Neurospora crassa OR74A: one gene and its partner. The protein of the gene in region 2 purifies or fractionates together with the protein of the main gene of each other region. This does not show direct contact. Links are inferred from orthologs where the notes say so. Each region holds a gene or a part of one and is shown on either strand. Other genes may lie near its edges.

Region 1 (3,543 bases), on a different chromosome or scaffold from region 2:
TGGCGGACAAGTCGTGCGAAGTGGTCGATGAAGGAATTACTCTGGAGATTAAATGGCCGGGTAGCTGCCGACAAGGTAGTAAGGCCAAGTCTTCGTTATGCGGATGTTTTGTTGGAGGAATGATGAGTGATGGCTTAAGTTGTATTTTCTGTTTCCCATTCAGGTAGCAGTCGGTGGTTGAGGTGAGAAGTAGCGAGCGAGACGACAACACCAAGCTGAGTTCAGGCAAGAAGAGGAAGTGGTAAGGTTGAGTGCGGGGCAGGGCAGAGTTCAAACGAAAGGAACTGAGTGAATAAATCCAAGGCAAGCAAGCGATTGGTGCACTCAGTAATGCACAACGTACTATGTAAACTTGCAAGGTAGAGGTAGGTACTGTTGTGTGTAATTACAACCTTTCCAGCGTTGGTCAAACTTGTATTTGCTTTTTTGTTTTTTGCTTCTCAAAGCAATCAATGACAGTCTATCTCTACTTCGAGGTGGCAACCAAAGAACGAAGGATGAAAGCGTCTCTGACTACTTGTACGTGCCGTGTATATTATACGCTGCCGAAGGTATCCTCGTGCGTGCGTAATCAGCATCGATCAATATCAACGAAAGCAACATGGAGGGTTCCGTTTCCATTCATTCTTTTATTCCACATACCAGTTCAGGTACTTTTTAGTGTGAAGCAGTGTCAATCAGTCACATCCCGACAACTTGGGGCACCTGGTGGTGGGCTGCTACATACCATTTTCAAGGGTAGCCGCCCCGCATTTGCAAGTGCAAGATGCAGGTGGGTTGCAGCAACGAAATGCCAGAAGTGGAATACCGTACGAGACTGGAGCTTACAGTGCGATGCCTTACCACACGACAGGGCATAAACATGGAAGACGGAAGCGGGCAGGGTGATTGATATACCTGTTTGAGCTTTCATATGTCCCAGCGTTGACGACATCGGAGGTCCATGATTCGAACCCCGCATCCATTGTCACTACGTTGTAAAATCAACATGTGTGGTAAAACGGAAATGTATGATTTTCGGGAGAATACAGAAGCAAGTTGGAAAGAGGGAGCCCTGGATCCCCGGCTGCCCGGCTCCCCGGTCCCGTCTCCGTGTCCAGGGCAGTCCGCCTTGTTGTTGGACGTGGAGAAGCTCCAGGCACCGACGGGACAAAACCCAACATTCGGAGCTCTACCCAGGTAGCGGACGGCCCCGGGTGGGAGGGGGCTAGGAGCTAGGGTCTTGCGAGATCCACTTTAATTGAAGCGGCTCCACAAAAGGAAACGCGCCAGACGCGGTCTCTCTTCCTGTGATCGCGTAAAGTGCTGCTTGGAGTTCTACTTTACTATCACCATTCTATTACGAGCTCCCCTCAACAATAGATTGTTGCGACACCTTGATTGACGACAGCGAGACGCTCACCCAGTACCCACGTTCTCTCTTTTCTTGACATTCAGGAAAACGTACCCTTCGCAACTTTGCTGGCCAAGATCTATTCCTATCATGGCAAGCTTTTTCGACATTAAGGCCAGGAAGGCGGCCGCTGCAAATGGCACTCCAAACCCGGAAAAACAGACAAAGGAAACTCCCAGGGCGCAACCATGGGTAGAGAAATAGTATGTCATGCAAGGGTGGTCAAGTTCAATGCCGGCAGTTCAACCAGCTAACCTCTGACGACTTCCTCGACAGCCGTCCAAAGACCCTCAGTGATGTCACAGCCCAAGATCACACCATTACCGTCCTCCAAAGAACATTACAGGCTTCCAACGTTTGTCAAACCTGCTTATTTCCCCTTCGTGTCTCTCTCAAGTCAAATTTGGACAGCCACTGACCTGTGTCGTCAACCCTCCAGCTCCCACACATGCTCTTCTACGGCCCTCCAGGAACGGGCAAGACCTCGACCATCCTTGCTCTCGCCAAGGAGCTCTACGGCCCCGAACTCATCAAGTCCCGCGTCCTAGAGCTCAACGCCTCCGATGAGCGTGGTATCTCCATCGTCCGCGAAAAGGTCAAAGACTTTGCTCGCATGCAGCTTACCAATCCCTCCGCGGCTTACAAGGCGCGCTACCCATGTCCGCCCTTCAAGCTTATCATCCTCGACGAGGCCGACAGCATGACGCAAGACGCCCAGAGCGCACTGCGCCGCACTATGGAGACGTATTCGAAGATCACCCGCTTCTGTCTTATATGTAACTACGTCACTCGCATTATCGATCCGTTGGCGAGTCGTTGCAGCAAGTTTCGGTTCAAGAGCCTCGACCAGGGGAACGCCAAGAAGAGGCTGGAGGAGATTGCTCAGCTCGAGGGTGTCGGGCTAGAAGAGGGAGCTGTCGATGCGCTGATCAAGTGCAGCGAGGGCGATTTGAGAAAGGCGATTACGTATTTGCAGAGTGCGGCAAGGCTAGTTGGTGCCGTGGCAGCCACAGCTAAAGACGGGGAGCAAAAAGAAACCGAAGGCGACGACGAGATGGAAGTGGACGCCAAATTGGTTACGGTCAAGGTCGTGGAGGATATCGCTGGTGTTATCCCGGACGATACCATTCAGAGGTTACTCGAAGCGATGCGGCCCCGCGCTGGGGTGGATACGTACCCTGCGGTTGCCAAGGTGGTCGAGGAAATGGTGGCGGATGGTTGGAGCGCTGGGCAGACCATGACGCAGCTCTACCAGGCGGTGGTTTTCGACGAGATGATCCCGGATGTGCAGAAGAACAAGATTGTTATGGTGTTCTCGGAGGTGGATAAGAGGCTGGTGGACGGCGCAGACGAACATCTGTCCGTACTCGACCTGGCGCTACGGATATCGGGTATCATGGCTGGGAGGTAACGGCCAAAGCTTAAAGAGTCTGAAAGGGTACGACAGAAGCAGATGGTTCAAAGATAGGCGACATATCACTGGGTTCGGAGTTTCGGTTTGGGCAACAGAAAATGGCAGGTCATTTACATCGCACTACAAGGTCATATTTTGGTGTTTCTAGTCCTAGACTTCTTTCTTGACAAATGCTTGACAATGGTCTTTTATCCCTGGCACCTCGCCCACCAGTTGTGTTCCGAGGTGTCTCCCGTCGCAACACACGATAGTTATGGCTGCCTCTACCCAGACTTCTCTAGTCCTACATGCACATCCACCATATTCCACATGCTCAAGCTCCCTCCCTCACGGTGACCAATTGTCTCCTTCCCCTTCCTGCCTCCCTCATCGTATCTCGTCCCAAGTCCCGATCCACCAGTTGCATTTGTGATTTTCAGCGATTTCTGCCCTTCGACAAGCCATATGTCAGATTCCTCGCCCACCTCATCATCATCGCCATCATTATCATCATCATTACCCTCCTCCTCTCCGCAAGCCGCTTTAACCGGCTGCTGTCGTTGCTGCTGCTGCTGCTGCTGCAACCCACGTCCCAACAACCGATCAGCCTCGCCTAGCATGCGAATTGCTCCCTCCAGCGCTATCTGCCCTTTCTCAATTTTCTCCACTACCACCTCAAAAGTTGCGATCTTGGCCGAGTCGGCAGCTGATACCCACGGGTTGACTAGACGCGATGACATCATGGCGTTGGGGTCAT
Region 2 (4,292 bases):
CTGGAACGGAGGTAGTTCTCCTGGATCATGAGATAGGAGAATTCGTGATCGTTAAAGTAGAGGTCGATCTTGTCATTCAGAGTTGCCGTGCTGGAAGGGGCGAACATGCCACCGCCGATCAGCTTCTGGCAAATATCCCAAGGCTTGAGGATGACGTGCTTTTCCCAGGCCTTGCTCATTTGCTTGCTTTGATCAAAATCCATGGTGGTCTGATCCAGCTTCGCTGTAGAGATCATGTTGATGATCTGCCGAATGTCCCTACCGCTACCTTCGATGAGAGCATTGACGACCGGTGGCGGGATCTTGAGACCTTCTCTGTGGCAGATGGTCATGATACGCGAGCGGATCTGGTCGACCGTGGGACGCTGAAACTTGATGTCAAAGGCGACATGATCGAAAGGCTTCATCTTTGGCAATCTGCGCTCGTTGCAAATCAAGATGAGCGGCACCTCGGTCTTCTTGCAGAATTTGGCCATAGTACCGACACCTCCGCGATCACCAGCGGACATACCGTCGACCTCGTCCATGACGAGAACAATCTTCTTCTTGCGGGCATCAGCATGCTTACCATCTCCACCAAAGAAACCTAGAAGAGATGTGTTGGTCATGACCTCACTAACACCGCTCTCGATGAGTTTCTTGCTGCGAGTGTCACTGGCGTTGCTCTCGATCACGTCGTAGCCTTCCATCTTGGCAGCAAGATGCGCCGCAGTTGTCTTGCCGATACCAGGAGGACCGGAGATGATAATAGCACGGTATCCACCTGAACCATCGGCGCCTCTCTTTTGGAAGTTGTACTTTCTAGACTTGGGCCAGTTTTTAAGCCAGTTCTGTATCTTCTCCACGTTGGCTTTGTTGCCGCAGATCTGGTTCATCGCCGTGGGGGCATACTTTGTTGTCCAGAGCTGTGACGACGGTGGGGGCAGAGCAGCAGGGACGGGACCAGAAACACCGCGAGCAGCAGCGGCCTTCTTGGCCTCTTTCTCAGCCGCCAGTCGCAGAGCCTTCTCTTCGCGATCTAGCCTCTCGGCCTCTTCACGCACCTTCTTCTCTTCCTCCTCCCGCTTCTGCTTGGCCTTCTCCGCCCCCTTTCCGGTGCCACCACCGGCGGGCATCGTCCTGATGAGGTAAAACAAGCCCTCCTCATCAATGGTCTTGATCCCATGCTCTTTGATCTTCCTCAGCTTGCTGGGTCCTGCATCGTCGCCGAGAACGACGAAATCGGTTTTGCTGGATGGCGCTCCTGTGACCTTGCCACCATAGCGCTTGACGAGTGCTTGGGCTTCCTCACGCGCGATAGTCTTGAGCAGGCCGGTGAACACAAAGGTCTTACCCGCCAGACAATCAATTTCACCTTCAGGAATGTCGGCAGTGCCCGCCATGGGGGGTGGACCCGCATTGCCAGCTCCGGCGGCCTTGGTCTTCCAGTCAAACTTGACGTTGGGGTCTTTGGGAGGAGCATCTGGTGCTTCAATTGTGGGAATATTGTCGAGGATCTTCTTGACGTCCTCGGGTTCTTCAACCGCCGCATCCTTCTTTGCCCTTGGCGCACGGGGCTTAGCGGGGGCTCCCTTCTTCTTCGCTGGCTTGACTTCTTCTTCCTCTTCGTCTTCCTCGTCACTTATAACAACCGAGGATTTCCGCTTCCCTGCCGTAGTAGTTGTAGATTTCTTGTTCGGCTTGCTGGGTCCAGGCTTGACGTCTTCGTCGTCAGACTCGGCTACGGCTGCTGTTTTGGCGCGAGATGCCATTCGCTTGGGCTTGGGGAGGAGCTCCTCGTCACTGTCCTCCTCGGCATAGTCGTCGTCCTTTTTCCTCTTGCTGCCACCCTTGAATTCCGCCGCAAATATGTCCTCTCCAGCATCGTGCTCATCATCCATGTAGGCATCGCCATCGTCATCCTTGTCGTAACTCTTGTAGGCCGTCGTGGGTTTCTTCGTAGTCGAGGTCTTCTTTGTAGTAGTCTTGGGAGGCTCTGGTGCTTTGGCAGCGGGGGTGGCTTTCTTCCGCGGGCTTGTTCGAAGCGCTACTTTTGGTTCTTCTGGCTCGGGTTTTGCGGGTGTCTTTTTCGGTGTTGACTGGGACGCAGCAGCAGTTTTTGTTTTTGAGGTTGCAAAGTACTTGGCAGCATCGGTTTCAACTCCTTTTACGGGTTCCCTAGATAGTCTGTCAGCAGGAATAGGATGACATGGAACTGAGAGGTGTTTCATAAACACTTACGCTACTTTCTTCTTTGGCGCAGCCTTGGTTGGCTTTTTGACTCTACACATGCTGGTTAGATGCTAGTTCTGAGAAGAGATGCTTTTCACTAAGCTTACTCAACAACCTCGTCATCTTCGCTGTCCTCAACAACCTTTCTTGGCCCTGCGACAAGATTGTTAATATAACGTGATAAGCTTGTGATGGCGATCATGGTTCAAGCTTACTACCCCGGGTCTTCTTCTCCTCTTCCTTCTTGGGTGCTGGTGTTGCCGGCTTAGCAGGCGGCGCGCCACCTTTTGGACCAAAAAACGAGCGAATGTCGGCAGGCATGATGGAGTATGTGAGAAGAAATCACTGGATACAAAATGATAAATTGAATGTGTCAAAAGGTTGGGAAGATGTAACAATCAGATGACACCAGCAAGCATCTTCTTATAGTGGCGGAGTTGGGAAGTAGGGACTTTTGTTCTTGGTGTCTGAGTTGTCCAGGCAGCTGTCCTTCTGCCTAACAAGTGTTGTTGAACAAAAGGCCTAGAAGGGTAAAGAGCTAACGGGTCGACTCTTGTCCCTTGTAAAGACGGAAGTAACAATTGAATGATGAGTGAGACGCGAAGGTGAAGTGGATGACGCGAGTCTGTGTCCGGGCTCTGCTCCCCTGTCGCGACTGGTGGGGCCTTGTCCTACAAGAATTCGCCAACTTGCTGCCTTGAGCTACGCCCACGCAGCTGTATTTCTTGTGAGGAGTCAATGAATGAGTCCCAGGTCCCGCTTGTCTGCTGTGTCCGGCAGATTCCATGTCGCGGCCGGCACCCGACACTTTTTGGTGGGTCACAATTTTTGGAAGTGCCGTCCGTGCCCCGTCCGCGCCCGCAGCACCTTCCATTGCAGGTAGTCGCTCTGCCCGGTCCCCGTCTCTGTGCGCGCGCTGCTTCGGGGAATCCGTATCAATCGTCGTCGGCGACCGGCATCCAATTGGACCCTCCCTCCGTCCTCCGTCCACCACTCGTCCCCTCCCCGGTCCGGTCCACACCCAAACCTTCAACACAATGAAGCACAACGCTTCCTCGGCGCTCCTCAGCGCCTTCCAGGGCCTTAGGATATCCTCGTCGGCGACTCCCTTCCGTGCCGCGTCGCTCGCAACCTCTGCCGTCCGTCGCCCCATTGCGCCGACCCCCGTTTCCGTCGCCTCCCATGTCCGCCTATTCTCTGCGACCGCCATCCAGGCTGGTTCGTGGCTCGAGCCCAACCTCAACAGAAAGAAGAAGATGATGAAGGGAAGGCCCAGAGTGCCGACGGGTGGTTCGACCAAAGGAACAACAGTGGTTTGGGGAGATTACGGCCTGCGCATGCGCGATCACCACCGCAGAATTAGCGCCCAACAGCTCAAGCTCGCCGAGGACACCATCAAGCAGAGGTTGCGTGGTCAGAAGTACCGCCTGTACAAGCGCGTTGCTTGTAACGTCGGTGTGTACGTCAGCGGTAACGAGGTGAGCAGCTGAACAACCCACAGCCCGGGAAGGCCGGATGCCGACTGTTAGCGGACATGAGGCTCACATGCATTTCCGGTGTAGATGCGTATGGGTAAGGGTAAGGGTTCGTTCGACCACTGGGCGACCAGAGTTGCCGTCAACCAGATTATCTTCGAGATCAGGGGGCAATTGCACGAACAGGTCATCCGTGATGCCTTCCGTTTGGCCGGACACAAGCTTCCAGGTAATAACAGCACATGCTGGCCCAAAATCTTTGCGAGGTTGAGAAGAGTAGAAAACTGACAAGTCATAGGTCTGTACGAGTTTGTGAAGAAGGGTGACCCACCAGTGGTTGGCATCACCAAGTTGGAGGATGGCCTCACGGTGGAGGACCTCAAGAACCCAAGGAAGAAGTTGTTGATGCCAGAGATTACCCAGAGTGCTGCGAGCACATCAAGCACTGCTGCTCCTCCTTCGTAGAGGTGGAGAACCCTGAGCCTATTCTAATTGTAACACTATGTAGAACAACAGAAGGGCCAATGTGCAAAAGAGTGTTGCCATGGCCATTTCATGATTATTATGACGACGTAACAAGCATCACCACTTTGATTTCAATGCTCT

What was found. The genes of interacting proteins can lie anywhere in the genome.
Region 1: the proteins of NCU06767 (region 2) and NCU02687 purify together in Saccharomyces cerevisiae (co-purification; 7 studies listed by BioGRID, with this or other methods). This does not show direct contact. The link is inferred for Neurospora crassa OR74A from reciprocal best matches to the Saccharomyces cerevisiae genes RFC1 and RFC2.

Annotation. Positions count from the first base shown.
Region 1 is NC_026501.1:3,203,443-3,206,985, reverse strand, and holds NCU02687 (activator 1 41 kDa subunit), read left to right. Parts: upstream 1-1,308; 5' UTR 1,309-1,483; coding exon 1,484-1,596; intron 1,597-1,669; coding exon 1,670-1,748; intron 1,749-1,832; coding exon 1,833-2,804; 3' UTR 2,805-3,005; downstream 3,006-3,543. Other genes in the region: NCU02686 (hypothetical protein), read right to left, coding at 3,071-3,543. UniProt on the Saccharomyces cerevisiae protein: Component of ATP-dependent clamp loader (RFC and RFC-like) complexes for DNA clamps, such as the POL30/PCNA homotrimer and the checkpoint clamp DDC1:MEC3:RAD17 complex.
Region 2 is NC_026502.1:2,003,921-2,008,212, reverse strand, and holds the start of NCU06767 (replication factor C subunit 1), read right to left. Parts: upstream 2,814-4,292; 5' UTR 2,533-2,813; coding exon 2,427-2,532; intron 2,365-2,426; coding exon 2,319-2,364; intron 2,263-2,318; coding exon 2,221-2,262; intron 2,158-2,220; coding exon 1-2,157. Other genes in the region: NCU06768 (mitochondrial 54S ribosomal protein YmL47), read left to right, coding at 3,249-3,689, 3,774-3,915, 3,985-4,151. UniProt on the Saccharomyces cerevisiae protein: Component of the ATP-dependent clamp loader RFC complex for the POL30/PCNA homotrimer DNA clamp.